4 linked regions of the Drosophila melanogaster genome follow. The protein of the gene in region 2 purifies or fractionates together with the protein of the main gene of each other region. This does not show direct contact. Each region holds a gene or a part of one and is shown on either strand. Other genes may lie near its edges.

Region 1 (7,531 bases), on a different chromosome or scaffold from region 2:
AAAATTCTGTACCACAAGTGGAAGTAATAAAACCCCAAGCCAAGCCGAGCACACCAAGTGAAGCGTATCTAGCTCGGGAATCAACCAGTGGTCACATTAGTGATGAAGATGACGACTACGTTCCCCAGGAAGTGTCCCTTCAGGAGTTAAAGCCGCCCAACGGAAGACTGCTATTAGCCTTACCCAAACCAAAAGTCACTGCTCCCGCTAAGGATCTGGAAAATGAGGATGTGGACAACCAGGTTACTTCCGCCTTTGCCAACCTGCCCATGCCACGAACAGCAGCGAAAGGAAAAGCCATTGTAGAGGAGAAAGACGATGAGTTTCTGCACAAAAAGGCGCTGCCCGTAGAAATAGAGAAACCTCCACCGCCGCCAGTCAAGGGAAAAGTAAAAATCAGCATTCCTTCACTAAGAGATTTCTCAGATGTAGACCAGGAGAAAGCTGACAGGGCTAAGAACAAAGTTGATAAGCCCAATGTACCCAAGGGATCGGGATTGTTGAGTCTGCTGCCCCAAGCAAAGTCGGAGCGCAACTTCTCCAAGAACTCTTCATCCGCGGTAGCCTACCCATCAGCCAGCACTACTCTTGCTTCCAGTCTAAGCAATAATCCTGCGCAGCCTCGAGCAGCACCAGCTTTTGTTCCCGATACAGTTAAGCAGCGACGAGCTGCACACAACACCGAAGGCGTAGATGGCCCTAAGGCCGGGCACAAGAAGAATCCTGAGACAAAAGACGCTTTGAAGTCAACAAAATCCAAACCTATAAGTAAACCCACTTCGCTGGTAAATGCCAGCGATAGTGAAGATGATGACGAAGATGGCACTGGAGACTTTTTCTCCCTGAATTCCGAGCAAAAGCTGCCTGAGGTGAGCAGCAACGAGATTAGCGCTCTAGTGGCCAAGCGAGCGGCCAAGATGGTGGAAGCCAGTAGCAAGTACCTAGAGGAGGTAGCCGAGAAGGAAGCAGCCGAAGCAGAAGCCGCCCGACTTCAGGAAGAGCAGTCTCAGATTGCACAAAAGCGCTACCATGAGCAACAGTTAAACGCAGAGGCCATGGACGCATTGGTGGGCAAAAATGCCAAGCGCCGGCGGAAGGAGGCCAAGGAGATGCAGGTGATCGACATATCTGGGTCTCAGGTGCTACCTGATCGCGAGGAATGGATGCGATCGGCTCTGGCTTCGTCCACCACCTTCCAACCGACCGGCGTGCTGACGGACGAGGAGCCGGTGGCAGGGACTCGGCGCAAGCACCAGATCACCTACCTGGCGCACAAGGCGAAGGCCAACGAAGCCGAGCTGCAGGCCATGTGGTCGGCCAACCGGCAGACCCGTCGGGCCACCCAAAGCAAATACGGCTTTTGAGTTTTCACTTTATGTACACCTAATCCTACAATATATGCTTAATATTACTGTATCCAGCCCTCTCGTTTTCCCAGCCTGCTGCCAACATAGAAGATGGCGGTGCTCAGCAGCAGGATGACCGGGGCAACGGTCACGTATATGGGAATCTGTTGCGGGTACTCCAGCGTTAGGCAGATCATCACTTGGGAGGCGATGGTCAGCAGGACGCCGGCAATGTTCCATTTGTAGAGGAACAGGAGATCCGTCAGGCAGGTTAGGTTCCGCCACTTGCGGATAAATTTAATGATCACGTAGATGATAATGATCACATCGAAGAACCAGAGTGGCGTAAAGGTGACGAACCAATTCCAGGTGGTGCGTGGGTCCAGGCGGAGACACAGAAGAATCAGGAAGACCAGGACGATAAACCAAGTGAAGAGCGCCCGGTGTGCCAGTGTCATCTTTGTCACTTATTTATATATTTTCCATGGTATTACAGAAAATAAACAAAGCGAAGTTACCGTGAATAGAATGCACTTTGTCCAGTGCTGTAAAACTACGATTACAGTGGTCACTAAAAGTGTTCGTAGAAATACATTTACCAACTCAATTTTCGAATATTATTGACGAAGATTAAATATATTCAAAAATATCACGTAAAATCTGTATATTTAACTATATAAAGAAGACTGGAGAGCATGATAATTCATTCATATTCATGTGTGTACTTTTGAAAACTTATGGTTCCCAGTGTATGCACATCTGCCAACGCTGGCAACACTGACTGGGTCGCGAAGAAGAAGATAATTGACGTGTCACAATTTCGACGATTGGTTGGTGTTTTTCATAAAATTAATTGTTGGCAGTATATTACGTGTTACTTGTAGCGTATCAATAAAATGGGTTTGTTCTAACACCCACCTCTTGATGTTTTGATACAGGCAAGTGCTCGAACCAGCAAAAAAAGGGCGCTTGACGGATAAGCCGACACCTAGAAGTGCATCCAATTTGAGACACCTACAGGCAGAACAGAAAAAGTGCCACCATGCTGACCAACTTCGAGTCGAAGTCGGCGAGGGTGAAGGGCCTCTCCTTCCACCCTAAGCGCCCCTGGATCCTGGTCAGCTTGCACAGCGGCGTCATCCAGCTGTGGGACTACCGGATGCACACGCTCCTCGAGAAGTTCGACGAGCACGACGGACCGGTGCGAGGCGTGGCCTTCCACCAGCAGATGCCGCTCTTCGTCTCTGGCGGCGACGACTACAAGATCAAGGTGTGGAACTACAAGCAACGCCGATGCATTTTTACCCTCCTGGCCCATTTGGACTATGTGCGCACGGTGGCTTTCCACCACGAATACCCATGGATTCTGAGCGCCTCCGACGATCAGACCATACGCATCTGGAACTGGCAGTCGCGCAACTGCATCTGCGTGCTGACGGGCCACAACCACTATGTGATGTGCGCCCAGTTCCATCCCACGGAGGATCAGATCGTTTCTGCTTCACTCGATCAGACGGTGCGCGTGTGGGACATTTCGGGGCTGCGTAAGAAGAACGTGGCTCCCGGGCCCGGTGGGCTTGATGACCACCTAAAGGGTCATCCGGGTGCCACTGATCTGTTTGGCCAAGCAGATGCCGTGGTCAAGCACGTGCTCGAGGGCCACGACCGTGGCGTCAACTGGGCCAGTTTCCATCCCACCCTGCCGCTGATTGTCTCCGGTGCCGATGATCGCCTTGTGAAGTTGTGGCGCATGAACGAGTACAAGGCTTGGGAGGTCGACACCTGTCGCGGTCACTACAACAACGTGTCCAGCGTGTTGTTCCATCCCAGGCAAGACCTGATTCTCTCCAACGGCGAAGATCGCAGTATTCGCGTCTGGGACATGACCAAGCGCCAGTGCCTCTTTACATTCCGGCGGGACAACGAGCGCTTCTGGATACTTACAGCGCATCCGACCCTGAATCTGTTTGCAGCTGGCCACGATGGAGGTTAGTTGATTTCTTTTAGGAATAGGAATTTTTTGTAATGATACATATTCTTTCAGGTATGGTGGTCTTTAAACTGGAGCGAGAGCGTCCTGCATATGCTGTCCACGGGAATATTCTCTACTACGTCAAGGAACGTTTCCTTCGCAAACTGGACTTTACCACCACTAAGGACACTGTGGTTATGCAGCTTCGACCAGGCAAGTCGCCGGTGTACAGCATGTCGTACAACCCAGCACTGAACGCCGTGCTAATCTGCACGCGCACCAACAACCTGGAGAACAGCACCTACGATCTTTGCCAAATCCCCAAGGACACCGAGAGCCAAAGTGAGTCGGACAGCAAGCGAAGCTCTGGAATCACGGCCATCTGGGTGGCACGCAATCGGTTTGCAGTGCTTGATCGCAACCAGCAGTTGGTGATCAAGAACTTCAAGAATGAGGTGACCAAGAAGTTGCCAACTTTCTGCGAGGAGATCTTCTATGCCGGTACGGGAATGCTGCTCATTCGGGACCCTGAGTTTGTCACACTGTACGAAGTTCAGCGCCTAGTCTCCGTTGGAAGCATTAAACTGGCCAAGTGCCGCTACGTGGTGTGGTCTCCGGACATGTCCTTGGTCGCTCTACTCTGCAAGCACTCGGTTACAATCTGCGACCGAAGACTTCAGTACTTGTGCACCGTGCAGGAGAACTGCCGCGTGAAGTCTGGCGCCTGGGACGAGTCTGGAGTGTTTATCTACACCACTAGCAACCACATTAAGTACGCCATTACAAACGGGGACCACGGCATCATCCGTACGCTGGACCTACCCATTTATCTGACACGCGTCAAGGGCAACCAAGTGTTCTGCTTGGACCGGGAGTGCCGCACCCGTGTGCTCCACATCGATCCTACGGAGTACAAGTTTAAGCTTGCCCTGATTCAACGCAAGTACGATGAAGTACTGCATATGGTGAGAAATGCCCGCCTAGTGGGTCAGAGCATCATTGCTTACCTGCAGCAAAAGGGTTATCCAGAGGTGGCACTGCATTTTGTCAAGGATGAGAAAACCCGATTTGGACTCGCTCTGGAGTGCGGTAACATCGAAATTGCTCTCGAAGCAGCCAAGGCTCTCGATGACAAGGATTGCTGGGATCGCCTGGGACAGAGTGCGCTGCTCCAAGGAAACCACCAGGTGGTAGAGATGTGCTACCAGCGGACCAAGAACTTTGACAAGCTTAGCTTCCTCTACCTGATCACCGGCAACTTGGAGAAGCTCAAGAAGATGAACAAGATTGCCGAGATTCGCAAGGATGTTTCCGCCCAGTACCAGGGTGCCCTCCTTCTCGGTGACGTCAAGGAGCGGGTAAACATCCTCAAAAACTGCGGACAACTTTCGTTAGCTTATCTCACAGCCGCTACTCATGGATTCGATGAGCTCACTGAGTCCCTGGGCGAATCGATAACCTCGCAGGGTAACAGCCTTCCCGAGGTGAATCCCAATGCCCAGTTGTTGCAGCCACCAGTGCCCATCCAGCAGCTTGAAACCAATTGGCCGTTGCTGTCCGTGTCCAAGGGCTTCTTTGAAGGCGCCATGGTCACCAGGGCTGGCTCCAGTGCCACTGCCCGACAGGCGCTGAACATCAACGCCGATGCTGCACTGTTGGACGAGCATAATGGTGGTGGAGATGGTTGGGGAGCGGATGCCGACTTGGGACTAGATGAAGACGGAGATGACGAGATGCACGACGCGCTGAGCAACGATGGCGATGGTGGTGCGGGTGGAGAGGAGGGTGCCGGCTGGGATGTGGGCGATGATGACCTGGTTGTGCCCGAGGAACTGGCCTCCAAGATCAAGGCCTCAGCCCTCGACAGCAACTACTATGCGGCTCCCAACAAAGGCTTGTCTCCTGCCCAACAATGGGCCAACAACTCGCCTCTGGTCCTGGACCATGTCAAGGCCGGATCATTCGAAACCGCCTTCCGTTTACTGCACGATCAGCTGGGAGTGGTCAATTTCCAGCCATTCAAGACACTCTTCCTGCAGAACTACGCCTGCTCTCGAACGAGCTACACGGCCAATCCGAATCTGCAATCCCTAAGTGGTTACCCACTTCGCAACTACTCCGAGACAAACATCAAGCTGCAGCGTCCTGCGGTTGGCATTAAACTGAATGATTTGGTGGCACGCCTGCAAGCTGGGTACCAACTGACAACTTCTGGAAAGTTCTCCGAGGCAGTAGAGAAGTTCCATTCCATCTTGATTAGCATCCCACTGCTGGTAGTGGACACGAAGCTAGATGCGGCGGAGGCCCAGCAACTCTTAAGGATCTGCGCTGAGTATATCGTTGGCCTGAAGATGGAGACTGTGCGCAAGGGCATGCCCAAGTCGACGCTTGAGGAGCAAAAGCGTCTGTGCGAGATGGCCGCCTACTTCACGCACTGCAAGCTTCAGCCCGTGCACCAAATCCTCACCCTGCGTACCGCCCTCAATATGTTCTTCAAGCTGAAGAACTACAAGACGGCCGCCTCATTTGCCCGTCGTCTCCTGGAACTGGCGCCACGACCGGACGTTGCCCAGCAGGTGCGCAAGATCCTGCAGGCCTGCGAGGTAAATCCCGTGGACGAGCATCAGCTGCAGTACGAGGAGTTTAATCCGTTCACAATCTGCGGCATCAGCTGGAAGCCACTGTATAGGGGTAAACCCGAAGTGACCTGTCCCTTCTGCTCCTCCTCTTTCGACCCTCAGTTCAAGGGCAATCTCTGCACAGTTTGCGAAGTGAGCCAGATCGGCAAGGATAGCATTGGCCTGCGCATTTCAAACCTGCAATTCCGCTAGGACGGACTAGCTTGTCGCTTTTAATATAAATGTTTCCAACACGCCGAGCGAGACCCCATAGTTTAGTTTTACACGATCCTTGCTTATTATGTATAAAGTTCAGTATCTGTATATTATAATGCTATAAAATCAAACCAAACGACTTGTTTTCTTGATCGATACCTAGCCTCGGTAGGCAATTCCCAGTGAAGAGTCTTAGTCACTCTGCTTAAAGGTGGAAATTCCAAAATGAACAATGCCATATAGATTAGTAATTATGTATTTTAGTTAAAGATACGACACTAATTTCACACTAAGTTGTAAGTATAATACCATAAAAGCATACGTAAAGTAAGCATTACATCTAACACTAATCTAGGAGCATAATTATTCGAGCGTGTCTAACGTAATCGTATTGAAATCTCTCAAGTGAAAGCCCTCTTAAGGGGTTCGGAGCATTCTCAGTTGTCCATGAAATATTGAGTATTCGCGAATTGAGTCTCTAACTGCTGGTGATGCGTCTGCTGCTGCTGGGGAGGCAGCTGCGGATGGGACGGCCCAGGAGCCGTCCACAGGTCCAACTAACGACGCCACATGCTGGCGCCAACGCCAATGCCTCCGGAGGCCACGCCCCGTCGCACTGCCTCCATCTCGTCCTGTCGATTGTCACGGTAGGCGCGCTTAGTGTCCTCGAACTCACGCAGTCGCTGGTTGTAGCGATCGATCTGATCCCGCAGAATGGCGTCCTCGTGCATGGCGCGCCGCTCGTCATACTCCAGACAGCCAACTCCGTCCAGTCGTTCCAGGTCTATCCATCCACGGAACCGGACACAAACCCCGTTCATGATAAAGTAGGACTTGATGTGCACCTTGCCGTGCTCCTTGTCAAAGTCGCACTCCTTGTCGTGCAGGTACGGGTTCTGGTTGGCGTTGAACACCAGCTGCAGATTGGTGCCCGATGCCACGAAGCTGGCCTCCGTGTGTCCTTCGCGACATCCGTTCATGAAGCGCACCTGCCGCTCCTCGATGCTTCGTTCCCGATAGCCCGTGTACCGAACCTCGCTCTCCCGACTGAGCCTCCGGAAAAGTTCGTCGCTCTCGAACTTGGACTTCTGGTCCGGGACCACACGAGGCATCTTGAAGATGAAGCGCGGCTTTGGCTGTTCATACAATCCGATGGTGTCGTAGGGTATCATATTGGCAAGTGCCGCCTCGTTCATCATTTTAACGGGTTTTCGCGATTCGTCCGCTCGATGGAACGCTGAATAGGGTATGTTTCTATGGGTGCTTCTGCAGACCGCTGCGTGCACACAATAATCCCTGGAACTCGGTACCCTGGATGGGTTTCTTTTGGTCGCTCCTTCGACGAGCCTTCTGCGTATACACAATAAGCTCTTGTATCT
Region 2 (8,264 bases):
GTGGAAATGTGTAACGATCTTAATCTTTTCTTCAGATAACTTGGTTGCGGCAGAACGACAAACTGGAGAGCGTGTTCCGACACTTCCTCGTGGAGGACCGCGGTACAGACGGTTCCGCCAGCTACGTGGATTTCCTGTGTCACATGCACAAGGAGATTAAGGATCTGCTGAGTTAGCACGCCGGCTACTCCGGCACATACAAGCCCGAGCAGCGATGGGCGGACAGTTATTCCCAAAACAGGGCTCGGATGCGTCGTCTGTCGTCCATGCGCAGTCGCCTCGGAAAATAAGAAATGCAAAGGGTTTAGGATCAGAAGCAGAAACTGGCGCTGAAAGCTGTTGGAACTTCAATTATATTTACATCAAAATACATATACATATATATTAATTAATGGCTATCATTTCGAGCGTATCAATTCTTCCATTAATTTTATTAAAGTTTTCATATTTTGCTTTGTTTTACTTTATATATATATATTTGTATGTATTTTTTTTGATCGGCTGCGCTAGAAACGAAACATTTGTTAAACGAGGCAACTGCTTATCTGCAAAATTAGAAAAAAATTATTCTCTTATAAAATTCCATGAATATGTTTAATTGTAATTACAAATTACTTGCAAATTTTCCACAGTTGAAAACTGCTAGTTGATTTAACGGATAGTATAAGAGCACTTCTTTGTTCACATCCTTTTTGGCCTAATGTATTTTTGCAATAATTTGTGCGCTGCGCCCTGCTTTTTATCATACTTTATGTCATTGAAAGATTATTATATTATAACCTAAATGTTTCGTGTGAGAATTACTCGACTTATATGGTATATTGCCCCTTCAACTATCGAAAGAAATGCAAACACTGCAAAACAAAAACACATTTATTGAGAATGAAAAACGGAATAAAAACTGTATTAAAAAGCGAATCAAAAATTGGGCTATGCTTTCAAGTAGATAAGTTAAATCGGATTGGTCGTCACACCGGAAAGAATCCTATTTCTCCTCCGACGATTGTCCACTTTTGCTTTCCCCCTTTTATTAAAACTCATCACCCATTTTTCATTAAATGTTTTATATTTTTCCTCTGATTTATGGAGGGGTACAACCGAAATTGCAATAAACTTTCAATTTTGCGTCAGTTATATATTTTATATTTGTATTTTATTAGGCCTTTAAATATCTAAGAATTAGTATTATTTGACGTGCACAGTTTACATTTACATAATTTTTCTTTTCTTGCTGTCCACTTCTTGTCGTTCTTTATTTTTCTTTTAGCAGTTAGAAAAGGTTTTTCAACTTCAATGTTCCCGAAATTCAATAACAATTTAAATTAAAACATTGCCTAGATTGAATGTCGCTCCGTGTCAAATTGTCTGCATGTCTGTCTGTTCATGTGGGTGGGTGCATACTTAAGGTCGAACGTACTAAGGTAAAATTGCGGAGCTCGAGAAACGTTTTGAACTGATTTTCTACGCGCAATCGAATACATGGAAAGGGCTCGAAAATACTTGACAATCAAAAATAGAATTGAAAAGTTTTGATAAAATATATATAGGATATTTGACAATAGACAATCGCACGCAGCTTGCCCAGACTTTATCAAAGTTTTCTTGTTGGCGCTTACAATTAGTGCTAGATATATAATTACAAAAACAATGCTGCAGCTTTAAATTTTCCATCATACATTTTGATTTGCATTGCCAGAGAAATCATCAACTAAACTCTATGTGTCGTGGAACACAACTTACTGATTATGATTGCAAAACATTGGCATGTATTATTATGCTCAACAGAACAGGAAAAAATTAAAGGACAATGGAGCGTTTGATTGGTATTATTGAAGTGTTGATAAACATATGTATATTTAAATAGGAATTATGGCTGCTTTATAGTCTCGCTTAAAAAATATATATTACTGAAACAGATATTTGGGGTGGTTGCCATTTAAGAAAATCCTATCGCCCGATTCGGTTCCACTCACAGCAAAGTTTCTAAAACAAAAGCAGCAAAATGTATTCCAGATGTGGGTCTGTATTTCTGTGTTGGGGTGTGTGTTGTGTGTGTGTGTGTGCTATTGAGAGGAGCGTAGAGGATCAGAGGATCGTCTATTTCGTGAACGCCATGAACACCGCCCACAGAATTTCGTTCGCATTCGGCTTGGCCGACTCGGCTTCGAAGTCGAGATCCAGCAGCTCCCGCACCCGCTTCATGGCCACCTCATAGTCGTCATCATTCAGCGGCGCGAAGGCGTTCTCGATCACATCGCTGGCGTGCGCCAGGAAGATAAGCGCCAGCATCCGCTTGTCCATGCGCTGTGGATCGTTGACCCACTTGGAGAGCACAGAATCTTGGATCTGAAGTCATACATTTCGGATTCAGTTTTAGAATTCTTGAATATATCCAAGTCTAGTTACGCACCTTCTTCACCAGGCGACATTTGACAACATTGTCGCTCAGCGGATGTGTCGTCATATCGAAGAGTAGAAAATTTTGCTTTTCCGTCGTGAGCACACCCTTCTCCACCAGATTTTTGGCCAGACGTTCGCGTACATTTTTCAGTTGGTAGCGCAATTTCAACGGATTCCAGGTTTCACCTGCCACAACAATAGGTTATACAAAACATACTTGGCGAAATGGCAGGCGCCTAAATACACACCACTAAGATATTCAATCCAGCTCTGCACCGTCTCCGGGGGATCTGTTTCCTTAATGTGTTTAAGTGCCTCATCGAGTAGAACGTCTCCCGTCTGCTGATCCGATTTCAGTATTAATTTCCTGTTGGCGAATTGAAGTTAGCATGCTTCTGAAAGGATGTGGAAACTAGATTTCTATACATACCTTGTACATAGACCACGTCGCCGCATTCCAGATTTCTCGATCATCACGCGACCTCGCAGTCCAAGCTCTATGAGAATGCATCCGCGCAAGCCGCTTGATATGCAGTCGTTCCAGAAAGATGTGTAGCCCTGAAAGTAATTAAAAATGCTATTAGATTCAAGCTATTTGATTGGCCTGGATGGGCATCTAAAAATAAGAATGTGTGAATGCGTTACTTGTTTATTTTTTAAAATTTTATTAAATTCTATCTAACATAAATGTAAGTACAAACTTCATTAACAAATGGTTACTGTCTCATGTTTCAAGGTTTTGAAATATATTTGAGCAAGTCTATGGTTTGGCCTTTTCACTTGTGTTGGGCGTAAAAGAAATGAATAATTACCCTGTTGCCGGGGTCGTAAAGCTCCCAGACGAAAGTATTCAGTTGTTAAAACATTAAACACTTGAGTTTGTTTAGGCCTTGCCCACAGAAGTGTATGAACTGTCAATTTAAAAAATACAATGCTTATCTAGCTAGTATAAATGAAAAAACGAACAAGAAGAGTTATGTTATAACCACATAAAAAATCAATTACAAAAATTACTCTTGTTATTAACGCTTGAAAAGCTATGATAATTGGAAGGTATAGATAGATACCTCAACCACGTTTCAATGCCATTTCACGATTTTAAAATAATTTATATAACAATCGCTCAGATGATTGATAAGGAATCGTTCCGAACGAAAGGTATAAAAGTGAATCATTTGCAAAGAACACGTCGCTTATCAGTTCGGCAGTTCGAGATATTGAAATTTTCCTAATGGATGGTGTGGGTAGAAGCCAAGTACTTTGTATAATTTCGAAAATGAGTGACGTACTGACATAAGAAAAGCCCGAAACGGATGAGAGCTAGGCAGAGGAGAGCAGCACTTGATAGTATGTACTTCCTCAAACAATTAACCAAATGGACAAAATCTTCGCGATAAGAGCGCTCGGAAGGGGAATGTAAAACAAAAGCGGGCAACACGTCCCACTGTTTCCAGCTCGTATCCCTCTTATGCGAAGGGAGAGGAGGTGGCAGGGATGGAGGTGTGGGTGGTCACACAAATACACTGCGGGCAAAATGATGAAAACAAATAGACGTGGTGCCAGCCACAAAGGCACATGTGTGCATTCCTATGTGGTACAAGCGAACAGCAATTGAGCGATAAAGCTGTGTGCCAAGTGAAATATAAAAACCGAATTCAATGGAGAAATGCGAATCTGCCTGTTCGCCATAATGGGTCACGTATGGATGATGGTTCGCATTTACGGACATCATCCCGCGCTATACGTAGATTTATGAATATTACAAACCTATGCAAATTAACCACTTATTGGAAAACTCGTTTGACGAAACCGTTCTCCGTGCTGCGCGGAGTGAAGTTCTCGAAGAGATATGTATGTATTTATAGCCACAACTGCCAACCGAAGAAGTATTAGAGCGCTATCTTTCCAACAACTAAGAACGTTGGCAACAATTCTAAGAATCTTTTTGATTTGGCACTGGAAGCAATTGCGCGATAGTGTAACACATAAAATAAACCTATTATATACTATATATAAATATATCATCACTTATTTGGGAAGTACATCAAAGTATTACAAAGGGCAAGTAATGGGTTCTATAGATTAGAATGAACGGCTGATTAGACCTTAACAGATGGAGCACACTATTAATTAATGCAAAAACAAAAGTGGTTAAGAAAATGGTGTTGGCAGTCTCACTGATTGCGCATTAGTCAGCAGGCTGGTCAAAAGATTTCATAGTGCATTGCTTAACAAACTGGAAAAGCTAAGAGAAGTGGCTAAGACATGGCATAAAATGTTTATCTGTAGGACAGATAAACATTGTTGCCCCCATAACTGAAGTGATAAGTTACCCCCCTGTATCCAATTTTCACTACGCCCCTGCTGGAAGATGGACTGCGTTGCACTTGGGGCCAAGCAAGAGGTTGCGAAAGAGAGAAATCGTGAGAGCGACAGAGAGAGAGAGACGTCGGTTAACAGGTGAAGAAGAAGCACTTATGTTGCGAAAGAAACCAATTAATTAGTGCATCCCAAGCAGATAAGAGATAAGGAGCACACCCACCTCCTTGTCCTTGAGTCCCAGCAGCAGAACCTCCTCCATGAGCGTTAGTCGTGTTTCCTTGGAGTCGCCATCGTCGATATTGTCCTCCTGGTCCTTTAGGTTGTCCAGTGCATCCTGGTTGTCGTCCGGCGTGTTGGCATTCAACCCACCCTCCGCCCCACCGTTTTCGCGGGGTTTCACCGAGCGACGCACCAATCCGTCGGAGCGATTCATTCCGGAGAGTTGGGTTGGGTAGTCGGGAAGTTCGGATCGATGGAGTTTTGGAGATGTGGGATGCGAGCGGAGCACCTATGTTTTTCTGCTGCTGCTCTTCTTCCTCTTTCCTCGTTTTGTGTGTGTGGCACAATTTGCTGACTCGACGTTGGGAGTTTCACAGTGTGTGTGTGTGTCTGTTTGCGCGAGTGCGGGTGTTTGCGTTTTTCTCTGTGTACTTGTGTCTTGTGTTTTTGTGTGTTGTTGTTTTCACTGACTCTTTTGCGCCCCCTTTATTTTGTATTCTTTTGCACACACGCACTTTTCACACTATCGCAAAAATGCAGGCCCTAAACTGCGTTTCGTTGTTGCTGCTTTGCTCGGCGTTTTTGCGCTGGGAACTCGACGGTTTGATTTACAATTTGGTGGCCCGTACTAATGGTGCATTTGCATTGGCCTTGCATTTACTGGGAATATGCGAGTGCCTGCGCGAAATAAGCTTTTTCCTATTATTTGTGTCTTTTGTCGACGTTCCGACGTGACATGATTTCCGCACTTTTCAGTACTGGCAATTTTCCAGACCTTAAGTGTTGGATAACGTTTTGCTTCTAGAGGTGCTGTTAAAACGAAATTAATTTAACTTTTACTCTTAATTTTTTGTAATTCAGCTTAATTTATTTAATCGTAAAGTTTTTGTTTGAATGATATTACAGTTCCTTGTCCATACTAAGGGTTTGGTAATGTTATGAATCCGAACCGATAGTTTGTCCGATAGTTGTAATCGCTGTATGACTCATCTCTAACGGAAACACAAAATAAAACCTACTACAATTTGTTGCATTTTGCCTAAATTCGTCACAAACACTGCCGTTAAAACGTTTATAATGTCCTACTTGACCAATTTCAACAGTGATACTGCCAAGCAAATTCTTATGGACATAATACGCTGTGTAAATCAGCCGGAAAACTCGAAGAAACTCTCAGAGGCAAAGGCTTCCGCTGGAAAAGAGATGATTCTCATGATGCAGCACGTAAATACCAAGCAAATCAAAACAAATAACCAAATAGTTTAACATAATACATTGCAGGTTTTTCCATTGGTGATGCAACTCCAACTGGAGGTCATTAAGGGTCATGGGTTTCCTGGAAACCGCGAGGGATTAGTCCAGTTCTCCCAGCTCATCAGAGAAATGGAAAGGGACGACATGGAAATCGTACGCCTGCGCAGTCAGATCCGCGCCATATACCTGCCCCCCATAGCTATAAACACCACCAACGACATCCTAATCTAAGCGTGGGGTAAATCCCCCAAACAAGACTGCAATTCTGCCCCCCGGTGGGTTTTTTAATATACTTTAAGCGACTTTTAATATTTGTAGCCCTTTTCATTTGAAGAAACTATATTCATTTTCAATTATGCCTTAACGTCATCTAGAAAATCTTATTTTCAAAGAATATTGAAATACTTCTCTAATACAGATTTCTGAAACAGGCCACCAAAATAGACTTAAGCTTGATATTCTTATAAAATGCATTTCTTTTGATAAGTTTGTGATCTTTTTTGTGTATTTTTTGTTGATGTACAAATGTTTTTCTTGTTCTTGCTAACAATAAGTAACATGGCAAAGGTTGCTATAAACAATTAAGGATCTGTGCCGTTCCATCGTCAGCTTTTAGGATCTAGGATATGTCGATCAGTCACGGCGATAAATTAAACAGTTTTCTTTCGTACCTATACAATAAGTTCCTTAAGAGCTATACTTTTATGTACACGTCAAGTAGTGAGCTGCTCGTCCAGCCTTCATCTTATAAACAATTAGGCGAGGATAATTAGTAACAATGTGAAATCCTAATGCGCGCTAGCACCATTTGTGGTGCTGGCATTATTGTTATTCCCGTTTTCGAGGTCTGTAGCCGTCAGTTTAGCCGGATTAATGTTTTTTATGTCGTTTCCGTTCAGTTTATGCTGCAAATGCTGCAGCTGCTGGGCGAGGTGCTCGTTCTCCGCCTGCGTAATGCTGTCAACATCAATGGACATCGACATAGGTGAGTGGGGCGTAAGCGGAGTCACTGGATTGCTGACGCACAACTCCTCAATGGTGGAGTCGCTGTTACTTGAGGGCGTCGAGGAGCGTGACCGCACTGGATACGAATCGTCCAGGGGCAGAGCAAAGCCCTGGGTGATCATCAGATCGGCAATATTTAGTTCAGAGTTGTCGGCTGGATCGAATAGTTCCACTCCGGGCAGCGGGGTTCCCTCCTTGGCAGCAGCACTTACAGCGGTGGTTGCCCGTGGACGCTCCTTGTAGGTCACCACTCGAGCAATCAGCTTTCTCCAATGTGCCACTACAAATGTTCGGTGTTTAGTCAAAAATATATCTAGCAACTGTTGCTGAAATCATACCCTCTGTCAGCTCTTCGAACTTTGCGATTGAAGACTTTGGCCACGTAATAGGCTCCGTCTGGATGGTAGATTTTACATTGGCCAAGAAGCATTCAACGGCTTGGAACCTAAAATAGTGAAATATAAATTTATGTCTATCCAATCAGTCGAACTGCTTACCTGAGCGTGAGGAAATCAGTGCGCAGCTCGCAGATATCAGCTGGCGAAATATATTCGCTATCTCCATAGTCCACGAAGTAGAGATCGATCACCTGCTCCTTTGGATTGTACTGGTTAGGCATAATGTCCACGATTTCTGCGCGATACCACTTCTCGTCGAACTTAAACACGGCTGCCACAATCTGACCCACATATGGAGCAGTCAGCACGTGCTTGGCCCTGTTTTCAGCACTACTATAATAGCTGGTCATCTCCTGGACCATGCTATCGAGCTTCTTGGACTGCGGTCCGATAAGCTGAACCCAGAATTTAGTGGGCGAGGCCACCGCGGAGACATAAACCTCCATTGGCTTACCCTCGCCCTTGGAGGCCATTAGCTTGTCTCTGGGCTGAGTGTGAGAGCTTAGGGATGTCTGGGAGGAGTACATGCTGGACGCAATGCTGTTGGTGGGAGATCTGCGGGGCTCCCGACGCTGTTCCACCTCCTCCATGGACCGCACGAGTTCCTCATCCTCCTCTATCTGATCATCCAGCATTTTTCGGGCTATGTTCACTTGCTTTTGATTG
Region 3 (8,878 bases), 130 kb from region 2:
TTCATGGGAGTCTTGGGAAGTGGTGATGCAACATATTTTCCAATGTCTTTCCGCCGCAAAGGAACTTCTCTGCTAAAAAAAAGTTAAATTACCTTTTTTATAAAGCCATGAGCTAATATTTTGAAAACCCATAATACAAAAGCGATTGTGAGCTCATTGTCGATTCAAATCGAATGACCATATATGTATATACGCAGTCATATATATATATATATAAGTATATACGATGTTTTCATTTATTATAATTTATAAATTTTAAATTTAAATACATACAGACAACATAAAAATTACGAATTGGAAAGAAATATGCATCGGATCTTTGATGTTTGTGGAACGATTTAAACAAGTTGTTTACGGTATTGTGTTGTTCGATTTGTTTTATTTATTTATTTTAATTCACTTTACTTCCTCTCCGCTTAATTGCATACTAGATGTAAGTTTAATTTTTATGGATTACGATAGTATCTCCGTTCTCGTTTACGTTTAAAGATAGTAGCATTAAATCTTCGATTGTTGCTAGAATGTGGAAAATAGTTCAACGCAAGGCGAAATTGAAAAATAAAAAAATCTAAAAGTATGCATAATTGGTTTTCTTTTTTTTTTTGTGGTTTTCGTTTTCCTTCATTTTCATATGTGTATATATAATTTATATAAATTGCAACTATCACACGTGTCCGCCGCGACCCGGAGTCGAATCATCCGCGTCCGTATCCGGATCTGGAGTCCGAGCTCCGGAGCCGTAGAGACACACACATTGCCACAAACCGAGGCGAGCGAGGATCTTCAGCCGCTGGCCTGAACATTTGCTCCTTGTGGTGTTTGTTTGTTTTGTTTGTTTTATTTGGAACGCTGCTGAGAACAACTGCAACTGGAATCTGCCCCTTACTTAATGCTCAGAATCTTACACGACATGTAATCTTTACAAATATTCTTTGCTCGCTTAGTTGGTTTCGGGGTTTCTCTCTTTTTTTTATACAATACGATTTCAAACTTTCTACGACACGATGAAATCTCCAAAAACCCTGCGCTTTCTTCTCATGTTTAGTTTTCATTATTAATTTGCGTTGTTATTTGAAATGGTTTATGTTGGAATTATACTGATATTTTAGCTCAATTGCGTGAGTGTCAGTTTGCTTGTATATTTTTTGGACAGATATCGAGCGTAATGGGGGAAATCGGGTGTGGGAATTTGTAACTAACTTTCTTTAATTGCAACTTTCGTTTATGTTGGGAATGGGAGCTCCTTTGTTTAATGCTTATAATTCTTATGTGGTCTTTATCATTATTGGTTTCGTGGCTCTCAAATGAAATTCGTCCCCTGCGAGAGCCGGCTTTAGGTATTTCTTTCTGATTCTGTTGAATTTTTAAATAATTTTTTTATTTATAATTATCAGCATAAACTTTTCAAATCTCTCGTTGGAAATTTCATTTTCTGTAAAGCCAAAAAAAAACTGTGTTAGTAATGCAACCGTATTTCCAACGCAATTAACTTACCTACGAAGGGACATCACTTGCAGCAGTTGTTCGTCGGTCGATTTGTTTCGGTTCCAGTCGGCCTTATGCTGGTTCCCTGATTGTTGGCGCCATCGTTCTTAGGTAGTTTCTTGGCTGTGGTTGGGGTAGTGATTAGCAAAGTTTTCGAAGCGTTTACGACGGCTCCTTATAGCTTACCAATGGCCAAGAAGATGTCGTTCACATTCATGCCCGTCTTGGCGGAGGTTTCCATGAACAGCAGCCCGTTCTCCTCGGCATATTGCTTCGCTTCATCGAACTCTACGACGCGAATGTTTGACAAATCTGCCTTGTTGCCGGCCAGCGCAATGACAATGTTTGGTGAGGCCTGGAAAAAAGTTTTATTAATACATATTTTATGTAATATAATTTACGTATCAAGTGAACGAATTTCTCGAGTTAAGAATATTGAACTGAGGCACTTCATGAGCAATAATATAAATGATTATAATATTAAAACACTCTGCACGATATTCAAGTTTCCCCGCTGACACTCACTTGTTTATGCAGTTCCTTGACCCAGGTCTTCGCACGCTGAAAACTGTCCTGATTCTGTATATCATAGACGACAATAGCGGCCTGCGCTCCTCGATAATACATGGGAGCTAAGCTGTGGTACCTACAAAAGCGAATATAAGTATGTCAGATGAAGCTTTCAGTTGGGTGATCTATCCAGCGATACTTACCGCTCCTGGCCAGCCGTGTCCCAGATCTCGAACTTAACGACAGTGTCCTCTATGCAAATAGTCTGTGTCAGAAAGGCCGCACCTATCGTGCTCTCCTGGTACTCGTGGAACTGTCCCTTGACGAAGCGCAGCACCAGTGAGGACTTGCCCACAGCGGACTCGCCGAGGAGCACCAACTTGAATTGGCAGCTTTTGTTCTGCGAGGTGCCATTGGGCCGCTGCGCCGTTCCAGTGCCGCTGGCACCGCCGCTGCGTGGAGTGGTTGCCATGATCGGTTCGGGTTGGATCGGATGCGAATGTGGATGCGCTCTTCCTCCTCTGAGATGGCAACTGATATTTGGTTCTACGGACGGTTACTGCAACTCACTCCCTCTTCTGCTGAGTAAGTCTTTCTGCTAAGATTGCTGCTGAGTGTGGATGCGGAATCTGCAAAATACAAATAATGTACATATTTATAATGGAGACGGATAAAAACGAAATTGAGTGCTTCCAATTCTTCTGCCATAATGGTACGTTTTTAGGGCTTAAACTCAGTCCCCTTGAAAACATGCTGCCCATGTGGATGAATATAAAACCCACATAAAACCATCAGATGATTGTGTGGCGCCTTTGTTTGTTTAATGACGCCGTCGACAAGCCCAGTTCAATATGTACATATCCGAGAATATGCACAAAAAGCCGACGTTTTCCATCAGTAAATGAAACAGAGGAAAAGGGAAGCGTCTGCCAATGGTCACTGATAAATTCAATTGAAATTGAAAGCAGTACGCCCTACAAAAACTCACATTAGAGCTTATATTAGTTTATTTATATTTATATTTATAAGTGTTACACATCCGAAAACATATCATTACTATTTGTGTCACTTGGCAACATAATAGTACTGATAAGCTTGTGATAGGAAAATCAGTGAAAGCAATTGTTCCACGATTAGATGTTCAATGTTATGAGTTGTGTTTAGAAAATTCCTTGCGTGACTGCTTCAAACATCCACAAACACAAACATTCTTAATTACATGTGCAAATACAAATCCATCAACAACTAAAAATACTTTGGCAAACACAAAGGGGAAACCTTATATGCGCTTTCTAGGCGCAATTATTGTTTTTCCCTTTCTTCGTGGCAGATAAGGGGTTTACAAGTAATCGAAACTACAACATTCTTATCGGTCCCTTGTGCGGGAAATCTAAGTTATCGTAAAAGATATTTATTGCAGCTCCTCTAGGGGCTACCGCGCAATTGATAATTCACACACTTTCTGGTGGAAAATATTTCGAGGGCGGGTGAATTTGTGTACATATGTGTATAATAGTACATAACACAGAGGACGCCTCGCATTATTCAGCGGTAATGCGTGTGGCATTCACAGTATTTTTGTTATCAGTGCCACTTTTATGAATCATACGCCCCATTGGCCACTACACTTTTACCGATGTCCCACAGATACGTTGATCCCGAAACAAGATATCGTTTTAAACAGAGAGTAATCATTAAAATTGTTTAAAAATATTTACTGTTGCATATATTAACTAAGCTAAAGTCGTTTTCAAATCTTCACAAAGTATCGTTCACATGCTTTTCGTTTTTATGACCGACGACGGGAATCTCAGAATTCCGACAGAAATTAATTAACACATTGAAGCCAGACTGTACAGTGGAGATAAATCTACGAAGATCGGGGTATGGAATTCTACACGAGTCTTGTTTACTTTGTGGAGAGAAGTGAGCGCAGAGCGAAGAGAATTCACAGAGTGAGGGCGGAAGCTGTGATAAAAATCAATGCAAAATAAATTAACGGGGAGACGTGGAGAAAGTAAAAGCGTGACAAACATGTACGCTGTGCGGCGTTATTAAATTAACAAGGAATGAGGGAGAGAGCGAAATATGCAGGCCCTCTCTTTGCCATTAAAAATGCAGTCAGTCAACAATTGTTTGTTTCTCCCCCTCCCTTCCGATCATTCAATTGTTTTTTTCCCGGAGACTTTGGAGCCAAGTGCACAGTCACACACACATACAGAAGCCGACAACTTGGTCTCTCTTTTCGAAAACCGCACTCTCATTGCGATAAAGAAATTTCGCCTACAATTACTTTTCATTATCCAGCGAATGACGTATTTTGCTGTTTTTTGCGTCTAAGCCAAAACGAAAACTGCACTTTAAATTTAATTAAAACAAGCAGTGTGTCTCACTAAGCCAATGCAAAATTTTCCTTGAGAAGCGGACAGCTGTCAGTAAATAACTCACCGCTAATTTTAATTCGAACCGTAATTAATGCGGTTTATTAAACTTTAAAGTCACTTGGACAACAGGAGTGACTTTCGCGCCCGTCTGCGGAAAATTCAATAAAATATAAAACAACGTTCAGGAAATTACGGTTCTTTTAGAACAGCTGACGATGCGTCATTCACGCGACTAATACAAATGCAAGTGAATCAAAAAAGAGAATGAGAGCGAGAACAACAACCATACGTAGCCACAGCCTTTATCAATCAAATAGCTGTAATACGTGGAATTAAGTTACAAATCTTATGTTAGATTTTAAAGATATTTAATATAAATATGAAATAAAGAAGAACGTCCACATAGCTTGTGCTTAATTTTAAGCATGAATTAAGTTTTAAATCCACCTTTGGAAACTTAAAACATTTTCATTATATCAACATGGCCCTATTCACGTGAGCTTGACTGTGGAATTGCCTCACTCGAAAAGTCAACAAGTGCAATTTTCTCAGCACGCATATTTGAAGCACGTCTAGAAAACGGAGAATACAATTAGCGTTATATTTACTGTCACACCACACATCACTCCGTAAATATGTATAGCTTGACAAATGCGGGTCTTCCATTTGCAAAGCGAGCGAAAAGGTCTAGAATAAACAAATAGAAGGATGCGTTTTTGTTTACATTTGGGCTTTATAGAAACATCAGAGACAAAGACAGTTCTTTGAGAAACTTGCACGATAAGGGAACGGATTGCCGATAAATACACACACACCACACACCCACACTCTCTCTCATAACTAAAGACGCAAAACAGGCGGAACAAAGAACCGCGATTTTTGATCCGTTTTGGCGTGTAAAGCGCTGATAAATTGGGTGATAATGCGGGCCAAGATCCGATTTTGCCAGCTTTACTCCATACCAGAGTGCACCTGCAGTGTTCTTTATCTCTTCACAATTAGATTCGTGAACTATCTTAGGCCTTGCGACCCACTGTGCACGCTGCACTTGGAGCAGGTCGTACGGCCGTCTCGCTCTAGCGCCCACTCTCATGGGCAACGCACCCAAAATTCAGGGCCATCTATCGCGCTCGCTCTTACACTCGCACTATGGCGGACGGGGCGAAAAAATTTTACACAACTTTCTTAATTAATTACGAGGGGTGAGCGAAAACAACAACGCAAAAGCACTCGACTTTCCGCCGAATTACGCACTCTTCTAAACGCGGCACTTGGAGACCAGTTGACCATTTGCATTTACGTTTTTTCCTTTCAATTGTGTGCCCCAAAACAGCCCCAAGAAACGAAACGAAACGAGCGCAGAGGGAGATAGATAGCGACTGACTCGCCTCTCGCAAAATTATCGTCGCGTCGCAGGTCGTGTTTTTGTCGATTAACTTCCTGGGCGACGTCACCATTGATTTGCCAAAGATTTTTGTCTTTTTTAGCTTCCTTGCCTTGCTAATGGCTAGCGAAATTATCGCCTGGTTTATTAGTAAACTTAACTTACAACTTTCTTGGAATTTTATGTGTGACCGCAGGACGACTGTTGGAATATGCCAAACATATCCTAAGCTCTGCTCGTTAGCAGAGGCTCCAACCAACGATACATATTTCTATCGATTAGTGGGACCAACATATTACACAATATAAATAAAATTTTAATATAAACATTTCTTACCGTGAATATACAAAACATATTTCTTTGCTGCACGAGTCAACTAATGAATCGTAAAACGGGTATATTTTACATAATAATTGTCTTACTATGAATTTATGTAATCAATGAGCTTGCAGGAACCGGCTCCATTGGTGAATTTGTTTTAATTTTTCTTCTGAATTATTTCTTAGCAAATACACGCACCATCTACTAGTGAGTCACATTTATCTATCACGCTCTATCGTATACACTTTTATCAATTTTTGCCTGGTATTTTTAAGTACATTTGGATCGGTGCAGGACTGTTGTCATGTTGCAGGGGTCCAGCGACGGGCACACTGAATAGAAGAAGTAATAACATTGCGAGAAAAGAAGAAGTGAAAAATTAAGAAAAAGTTTACGGAAGTGCGAAATGAGTTTTAAAAAATAAATCATAATTTTGGGCGTTGCCAGGCGCATAGTAAAGTGATTGTGTTAATAAAAGAATACCGACCTTTGTGTCCTGATTCGCCTCCTTCACGCACACACTCGCACAGACTTGCACAAACACACGCACACAGTTGCGTCTTTCGTCATCTCTCTCGCTCTCAGTTTTTTATCGCAGCTGCAACGCAAATTGCAAAAAGGATAAATCCCACCGATCTTGCGAGTCCGGCCGTTGGCTTGGCTGCGAAAATATAAGCGCAAAGGTGGGCCCCCAAAAAAAGAAGCTAATCAATATTGATTTTGGTTAGCGGTATGTCTACTTTTCGGGTGGTCTCCTTTCTAGCGTGCGAAATTCTCGGGGATCCAGGATTTCAAAGGATTCTGCACACGCACACCCATCCAAGCACAGTGCTCATTCGAAAAAGCGAACATACAAGTGAGCGGAACATTAAAGCGAAAGATATATATTTTTAAACCATTACACGTACACAGAAAACAATTGATTTCTTGCGAGCAGTAAAATTAATACTTGAGCTAAATTAATATTTCTAAATATTTACACAAGTTGTAAAAGGTACACTCATTAGGCTTTTGGCAATTTGTTTGTTGGATCTAGGACCTGGTCAGGGGCTCTTACGAAACGTAAACAGGTGTAATTAATTTACTCAGAAATAAAGTTTCGCATTCCCGGCAGTTCTCCCTCTCGAATGGACACTGTACATACACACCTGATCTATACGTTTTCGCTACCTGCGAAGGAAATTTCCAAGCAACATTATGTAAAACCATTTCCTCCTACTTTCTTGCAGATGACCAAAGGACACTCAATGATCTAGGGACCTCGACACGGATAGCATGTTTAGTCCTATAAAAAAAATATTTACGTACATACAAAAAAATGCGAGCGGCTCCAATATGTTTAGCCCATCAGGAAACAAGGCCGCCGGCCAAAGGGAGGGGACCACCAGCCTAACTGCCCACGACGAAGGCGAAAGGAAGGATCAGCGGCATCTGGATCACAAGGATAATCAGAGCGAACCGGAGGAGCGGCAGCATCAGCTGCAAATATTTCCCCACCTGGACGATGACGACGACGACATCGAGAGGCAGATCAAAACCTCCATAATTGACGCCAGCAAGGTGCACGCAGCGAAAGCCAAGGCGTTGGCTTCCCTACCCATGCCGCTTGAGCAGCTCGATGATGAACTGGCGGACTTTGCTCACGGCCCGGCGGACACCGAACTAGAGGAGCAGTTCCTTGAGCTGGAGAACTATCCTAATAATGAGATAATCGTACTAGGCGATGCGGATCTTAACTCTTCAATAGCTTCCGACGCAGTCTCCGAGGACCCACTGGCAATTGACAACATTCTTGACTCCGCGTCGGTCACCACAAACGAGGAGGTCGACACCAGTGGAGAACTTCTTTGGCTGAAGTTGAACAATGAGACGGAAATGGCCACCAGATCAGCGGAGGTGGTGTCCAACAACCAAGCATCATTGGAGCCTGCCCAGCCAGCCAAACCGAAAGAGGATGAGCTTAGAGATGGTGGGTCTGATTCTGGTTTAGGAAGTGAAACCTCCGCGTTACTCAAGGATCAGGCGGAGAAAGAAGCCGAGCCGGAAATCCAGAAAAAGGTGGAAACGAAGCCCATAAGGTCCAACCTTAAACGGAGACTCGAAGATTCGGAAAGCGATGCTATAGATCTGGTGCCCGACATGTCTGCCCCTCCAGTAGCCCCCCAGAAGCGGACTAAGCGCTCCATCAACTTTGACGAGGTGAAGGTGTTCTACTTCCCACGACAACAGGGCTTCAGTTGTGTACCAACGGCGGGCGGATGCACCTTGGGCATGGGTGCAAGGCATGTAGGTTTTAAGACGATGACCCTGGCCGAGCACGCAGCGGAGTTGAGGCGGGCACATCGCAGCCAGAACCAAGAACTCCAGCCTCGGGGTTCCAGCAGTGACGACAGCGAGGAGTCCGAGGAGGATTACCTAAGCGAGGGTAGTGGCTCCGATGCCGAAGACGGTTCCAATGGCTTCCTACAGCCGGTGACGCCCAAGCAGAGAAGGGCACTGCTGAAAGCGGCGGGCGTGCGCAAAATTGATGCCAGCGAGAAGAGCGAATGCCGCGATATCAGAAACTCCCGGGAAGTGTGCGGCTGCTCCTGCAGAGAGTTTTGCGATCCGGAGACTTGTGCCTGCAGCCAGGCGGGCATTAAATGTCAAGTAGATCGAGCCATGTTTCCTTGCGGATGTACTCGCGAAGCTTGTGGCAACACAGTTGGCCGGGTAGAGTTCAATCCCACGAGGGTGCGAACCCACTATATCCACACGGTGATGCGGTTGGATCTCGAGCAGCGACAGGGTTCGG
Region 4 (5,660 bases), on a different chromosome or scaffold from region 2:
TAGAAACTCACAGATAGCAAAGTTTCTTAGCATTTTAATAAATATAATTTAAATTTATATTATAGCTCTACATACACACCAGATGTTCAATCAGATTGACATTTCTAAAGAATTTCTTTCTTAAATACTTTATAATACTTTGTGATGATTTTCATTTATGCGCATTGAATCGTTGTGGGAATCTGATCGGCTGGGATCATTTATCACGCCATGCAGCGGATGTAGCAGGATATGCCGCACGATATGATGCTGCATAAAGTGTCCTCTGATCGGTGATCGTTACACAAACCGCATCCTGCGCAGTTACTTTTTATGGGACAAAACCCCATTGTGTGGATGCTACCAAATGTCCTGGAAATCGTAACGAATCCACGCATTCCGACCAAGGTATCCCCGCAGCTGTCCGGCGGAATCGTGTGATCCTGTCGCCCTGCCATCGCCGGCACCACAAAGTTCGCGCCCATGTCGCGGCCGCTGTAATCCTTCGATTACATCGTTACCTCACGGCGATAATCTTGGCGGGGCTGTATTATGGCGTTAGAGTGGGCGTGGCAACATGGATCTCAACTTGGGACTCTCAACCTTCTAGCTTTTATAGTTCTCGACGTTCATACGGACAGACGGACATGACCAGATCGACTCGGCTATTTCTCCTGATCAAGAATATATATATATATATAGATTATATGGTCGGAAACGCTTCCTTCTGCCAGTTTCAACGAATCTTACCCTTACGAGTAACGGGTATAAAAAATTGGAACTTGCATTATTATTGGCTCCCACAGAGAAGGGTATATTATTTGAATGACAACAACGTTTCAATGTAAATATATATTAAAATAATCTAGGTAAACATGAAAACGAAGAAAAATAAAAACAGAATTTAGTGGTATCTTTATGTTATCAAAATGAATATGATTGACAAAGCTCAGAGTCCGCAGCATTCTGCCATTTATCCTGGGCTTCCTAGATCCCAAAACCGAGTCGTAAGAACGTCTGTATATACTGTAGAAGAAACTTATATTAATAAAAGAATTTCCCTGGGAAACGAGGAGTTTATCAGTTTACCTTATTCTGTTAGCGACGGATCCTCTCCCAATGGCCCTGGGTTGAGGAATCCTGGGCGGGTGGGACGCCTAGCAGGAATGCGGCAGACTGCGAACGGCCAAAGCATCGAGCACTGGTCAAATTCGGACAATCCAGCTGGGTTTTTTACCACTGCAATAATGAAAAACTTTCAGAAGTCCTCAAGGGATTGCTCATGGTAGAGAGTGACATCGCTTTTGCTTTTAATAAAAGAATTTCCAAATTTTTGTGCCTGCAGGACAAAAATGATTATGTGTACCTTTTCGACAACTTGCTGAGGTGCTGGACCCTTCGCCCGTTCGAAGACTACCGCAAATCTGCGAGCGGGACGCCCGCAATATTCGTCTAGCTCCTTGCCCCATCCTTTGTCATGCCCTTGATCAGTCAAGTCAAGACGGTATAGATTCTATCGCCAAAAGGTGCTTCAAAATCGGATACTGCTGCTTACCTCATAGATTAAGATTTTATTGTTGGGACTCGGTTTTCCAAATGATAAAAACAATAAAAAAAATGTTTGGAGCAAATCCTAAAGTTGTTGTTTCTGTAGCACATTGAGTGTAAATGTCAAAAATAGTATTGAAAAAGAACAAAGTTAAAATCATCGCCTACTTAAAAATAGTATTGCATAGGAACAATGTTAAAATTATCGCCTACTTATTATCCAGCACTTAAGCAAGATAATTAATGTATATATATTTTTAAAAATTAACGAAAGAGAATGCTTTAGTCCCGTTCTCCGACTATCAGATACCCGTTACGCAGATAGTGTGAGTGCAAACGTGAAATTTAATAATTTTTTCTGGGGTGTGTTCTGTTACTCTACGAGTAACGGGTATAATAACTTCACATTCCAAATTAAATTGCTATAAAAAATAGATTTCCAATTAGAGAATATATCCAATTGGATCACTCGATAACACCTGTTAACCTTACGTATGTATTATGATCTAAAAACTTGTTATCGGCAAAATATAAATGAAGCTGATAAAATAAAATAAATTTGTTGTTCCTTACAAAGTTATACTACATTTACCTAAATAATAATTACATTCGAATATTATGAATAAATACGTGTAACAGTAGGATCGTGCGATACAAATATCGATTCGAATGTTGAATGTGGTATCGATGTTTTTTCACTCCACGCAATTGCATATTTGCCGTATATATCGGCATTAATTGTATAACTTTCACACCTCTACCTTGTCTTGCAGTCAGTATTTAGTCAAACAAAAGAAAAATAAACTACATTTGTTAGAGCTTGATAAGAGCTCAGTTTGTCTTCAGTGTGTGTGCCCGTCATCTAGCAACAAACCGACGTGATTATTTCGAGTATGATAGTACTTAGCGTACATTTTTGTTAAATTGCAGTAAGCATACGGGCTCCAAATATCTTTCGATTCATTGGGAAAAAATGTAAAGTGCTAAAGTGCGTGTGTGTGTTCGCTTGCAAATGCAATATATACATACAAATTTTGTTTATTTGATGTAAAAGCATCCGATTAATTTACCGTTTATCTAATTATGTTCTTGTTTATGTGGCATATTGCGGCACTGCAAGTGTGCGCGCTCATCTGTGAGTGTGTGTGCGCGAGTGCTGCTGTGTGCGTGTGAATTGGGAATTACCGCTACTCAATTTGATGTATATACACCGAATTTCGTCAATTTCATGGCATTGTCCCATTGTTATCAGGCGCAAAACAGTGATATTTAAATGCGATTTTCGATTTTCATGCACACACAGGGGGAGGGAAAACAAGAGCAAAATTGCTGTACATGTATTAGTCAGTGACTAATTGTTCAAAGCGCAACTCAACATGGCTGACTTTTTCTGTGGTGAGCAGCGATTTTTGATGATAATGCTGCCTCTTTTCTTTTCAAATTCTCTCTCTTGATTCGCTCTCACTCTCTCTCTCTCTCCCTCGCTCACCTCAAATAAAATAAAGTGCTGGTAATTTTCCCGTCGTAACGGCAAGTGCAAAAACGCAAGAAAACGAATAAAAATACCGATACAAAGGATTAATCGTAGGAAATAATTTCGTCTATATATTTTCTTGCACAAAAGCGATTGGGGATACAATAAGAGACTCGGTGTTTTATTTTAAGGGCGTTTACATCCATATGTACATACATATAGGCCTTTATCTTTCATTTTTTCATCCGGTGACGCTGTCACTTTCTATCAACAATAAAATAACGCCCACAATTTGATTTTTCCTCATTCTTGCCGCATCAGTGCTGTCCATAACTACATGTTTTTCCAAAATCTTTTGTCTTTCGTGCAGCTAAACGTTCCAATGGAAACCGAATCTTAAACCAGAAACCGACTAAACTCGAACGCAATTAAACAACAATAAATCCTCGAAACAAATCAAATACAAACTGTTACCAAGTGTGCAATTCAAGAAAACATCGTATTGGCATTGTTTTCGCAAAGATACATTTACGTTGTAAAGGTCTGTCAATAACTAGACCTCACTGTAGTAGTAAAGATGACGCAACCACTGCCCATCCGCTTTCAGGAGCATTTACAGGTGAGTAATATTAAATATTTTGGATCTACCATCATTACATATCCACATACGTACAACCCACCAATATGCCACGATTACCTACGATTATATCCGATTCATAAGCTCCCCACTTTTCTTATGAAAATTTCACGGTTTCCAGCTCTAATTCAACGTGTAAACAGAAAATATGGGGGCTTAGGTCGAGTTTCTACTTTGCTATACCTTCTATTCAAGTCTGTATACAGTGTATTTTCTATAGAACTAGTTATAATACAAATTTACATCTAAACTTAAGCAAAGTATTGCGAATATTTAATAGTAAATGTGGGTCAATCCAGGCCAGTTCAATAATTAATAATGAATGATTATATTGTGTAATGAGTGCGTATGCTATGATTTTCGATTTATCAATTAACACACATTTTCAATCTCCACTACGGACAGCTCACAAATGTCGGGATCAACGCCAATTCATTTTCATTCAGCACGCTCACGATGGAATCGGATAAGTTTATTTGCGTGCGGGAGAAGGTGAATGATACCGCCCAAGTGGTCATCATTGACATGAACGATGCCACCAATCCCACGCGGCGTCCCATCTCAGCGGATTCGGCTATCATGAATCCAGCTAGCAAGGTCATTGCGCTCAAAGGTAACTGAAACCGATGGTCCAGTCGATCAGAATGTCCGAAGAGGATCAGATTTTAGCTTAAAGTAACGTAGGCTTAGTAAACAGGTCCGCTTGTTATTACAACGTGTCTAGAAAACTTAAAACCTCACTTAAACTTTAACTTGAATATCAAATAGTAAGGAAAGAGATCAAAGTTTTTTTCCGGTCGACTGGGATAATGCATTTTTGAACATGTATAACTTTAGAATATTTCTTTTAGCGCAAAAGACGTTGCAGATCTTCAACATTGAGATGAAGTCGAAGATGAAGGCGCATACCATGAACGAGGATGTGGTGTTCTGGAAGTGGATCTCCCTCAATACGCTAGCTCTGGTCACAGAAACGAGTGTGTTCCATTGGTCCATGGAGGGCGATTCGATGCCGCAAAAGATGTTTGACCGGCATTCATCGCTGAACGGTTGTCAAATCATCAACTACCGCTGCAATGCCTCCCAGCAGTGGCTACTCTTGGTCGGCATTTCGGCACTGCCAAGTCGCGTTGCCGGTGCCATGCAGTTGTATTCGGTGGAGCGTAAGGTGTCCCAGGCGATCGAGGGGCATGCGGCCAGTTTTGCCACGTTTAAAATCGATGCCAACAAGGAGCCGACCACGCTGTTCTGCTTTGCAGTTCGTACGGCCACTGGGGGCAAGCTTCATATTATCGAAGTTGGTGCTCCGCCGAACGGCAATCAGCCGTTTGCCAAGAAGGCTGTCGATGTCTTCTTTCCGCCGGAAGCACAAAATGATTTCCCTGTGGCTATGCAAGTCTCTGCCAAGTACGACACCATCTACTTGATAACCAAGTATGGATACATACATCTGTATGACATGGAGACGGCCACGTGCATATACATGAATCGTATATCGGCCGATACGATCTTTGTTACCGCACCGCATGAGGCAAGTGGTGGCATCATTGGCGTCAATCGCAAGGGACAGGTCCTCTCCGTGACCGTCGACGAGGAGCAGATCATTCCCTACATCAACACCGTTCTGCAGAATCCCGATTTGGCCCTTCGCATGGCCGTGCGCAACAATTTGGCTGGTGCCGAAGATCTCTTTGTGCGAAAGTTCAACAAGCTCTTTACAGCCGGCCAGTATGCTGAAGCGGCTAAAGTTGCTGCCCTGGCACCCAAGGCCATTCTGCGTACGCCACAGACGATCCAGCGTTTCCAACAGGTGCAGACACCAGCTGGCTCCACGACTCCGCCGCTGCTGCAATACTTTGGCATTCTCCTCGACCAGGGCAAGCTGAACAAGTTCGAGTCTCTCGAGCTGTGCCGTCCCGTCTTGCTGCAGGGCAAGAAGCAGCTGTGCGAGAAGTGGCTGAAGGAGGAGAAGTTGGAATGCAGCGAGGAGTTGGGTGATCTGGTCAAGGCCTCCGATCTTAC

The links.
Region 1: the proteins of sau (region 2) and alphaCOP purify together in Drosophila melanogaster (affinity purification with western blotting; 2 studies listed by BioGRID, with this or other methods). This does not show direct contact.
Region 3: the proteins of sau (region 2) and Rab5 purify together in Drosophila melanogaster (affinity purification with western blotting; 2 studies listed by BioGRID, with this or other methods). This does not show direct contact.
Region 4: the proteins of sau (region 2) and Chc purify together in Drosophila melanogaster (affinity purification with western blotting; 2 studies listed by BioGRID, with this or other methods). This does not show direct contact.

The regions. Positions count from the first base shown.
Region 1 is NT_037436.4:1,639,815-1,647,345, reverse strand, and holds alphaCOP (coat protein (coatomer) alpha), read left to right. Parts: upstream 1-2,146; 5' UTR 2,147-2,176; exon of another isoform or gene 2,177-2,284; 5' UTR 2,285-2,388; coding exon 2,389-3,334; intron 3,335-3,390; coding exon 3,391-6,149; 3' UTR 6,150-6,280; downstream 6,281-7,531. Other genes in the region: CG17249 (uncharacterized protein), read left to right, coding at 1-1,364; CG13919 (uncharacterized protein), read right to left, coding at 1,409-1,804; Bgb (Big brother), read right to left, coding at 6,710-7,351.
Region 2 is NT_033779.5:2,223,960-2,232,223, reverse strand, and holds sau (sauron), read right to left. Parts: upstream 5,883-8,264; 5' UTR 5,156-5,882; coding exon 4,943-5,155; exon of another isoform or gene 4,919-4,942; intron 4,861-4,918; exon of another isoform or gene 4,620-4,860; intron 2,959-4,619; coding exon 2,831-2,958; intron 2,768-2,830; coding exon 2,649-2,767; intron 2,587-2,648; coding exon 2,411-2,586; intron 2,347-2,410; coding exon 2,098-2,346; 3' UTR 1,125-2,097; downstream 1-1,124. Other genes in the region: Sec24CD (secretory 24CD), read left to right, coding at 36-176; CG15387 (uncharacterized protein), read left to right, coding at 6,019-6,165, 6,223-6,426; papi, read right to left, coding at 6,984-7,480, 7,539-7,645, 7,698-8,264. UniProt on the Drosophila melanogaster protein: Phosphatidylinositol-4-phosphate-binding protein that links Golgi membranes to the cytoskeleton and may participate in the tensile force required for vesicle budding from the Golgi.
Region 3 is NT_033779.5:2,358,962-2,367,839, forward strand, and holds Rab5 (Rab5), read right to left. Parts: upstream 6,313-8,878; 5' UTR 6,100-6,312; intron 5,994-6,099; exon of another isoform or gene 5,876-5,993; intron 5,761-5,875; exon of another isoform or gene 5,352-5,760; intron 4,544-5,351; exon of another isoform or gene 4,444-4,543; intron 3,821-4,443; exon of another isoform or gene 3,714-3,820; intron 2,895-3,713; exon of another isoform or gene 2,778-2,894; intron 2,625-2,777; 5' UTR 2,468-2,624; coding exon 2,199-2,467; intron 2,132-2,198; coding exon 2,011-2,131; intron 1,841-2,010; coding exon 1,672-1,840; intron 1,609-1,671; coding exon 1,508-1,608; 3' UTR 1,495-1,507; intron 1,433-1,494; 3' UTR 605-1,432; downstream 1-604. Other genes in the region: Axud1 (AXIN1 up-regulated 1), read left to right, coding at 7,360-8,878.
Region 4 is NC_004354.4:15,832,083-15,837,742, reverse strand, and holds the start of Chc (clathrin heavy chain), read left to right. Parts: upstream 1-2,252; 5' UTR 2,253-2,456; exon of another isoform or gene 2,457-2,515; intron 2,516-2,830; exon of another isoform or gene 2,831-2,922; intron 2,923-2,988; exon of another isoform or gene 2,989-3,111; intron 3,112-3,371; 5' UTR 3,372-3,578; coding exon 3,579-3,620; intron 3,621-4,043; coding exon 4,044-4,251; intron 4,252-4,489; coding exon 4,490-5,660. UniProt on the Drosophila melanogaster protein: Clathrin is the major protein of the polyhedral coat of coated pits and vesicles.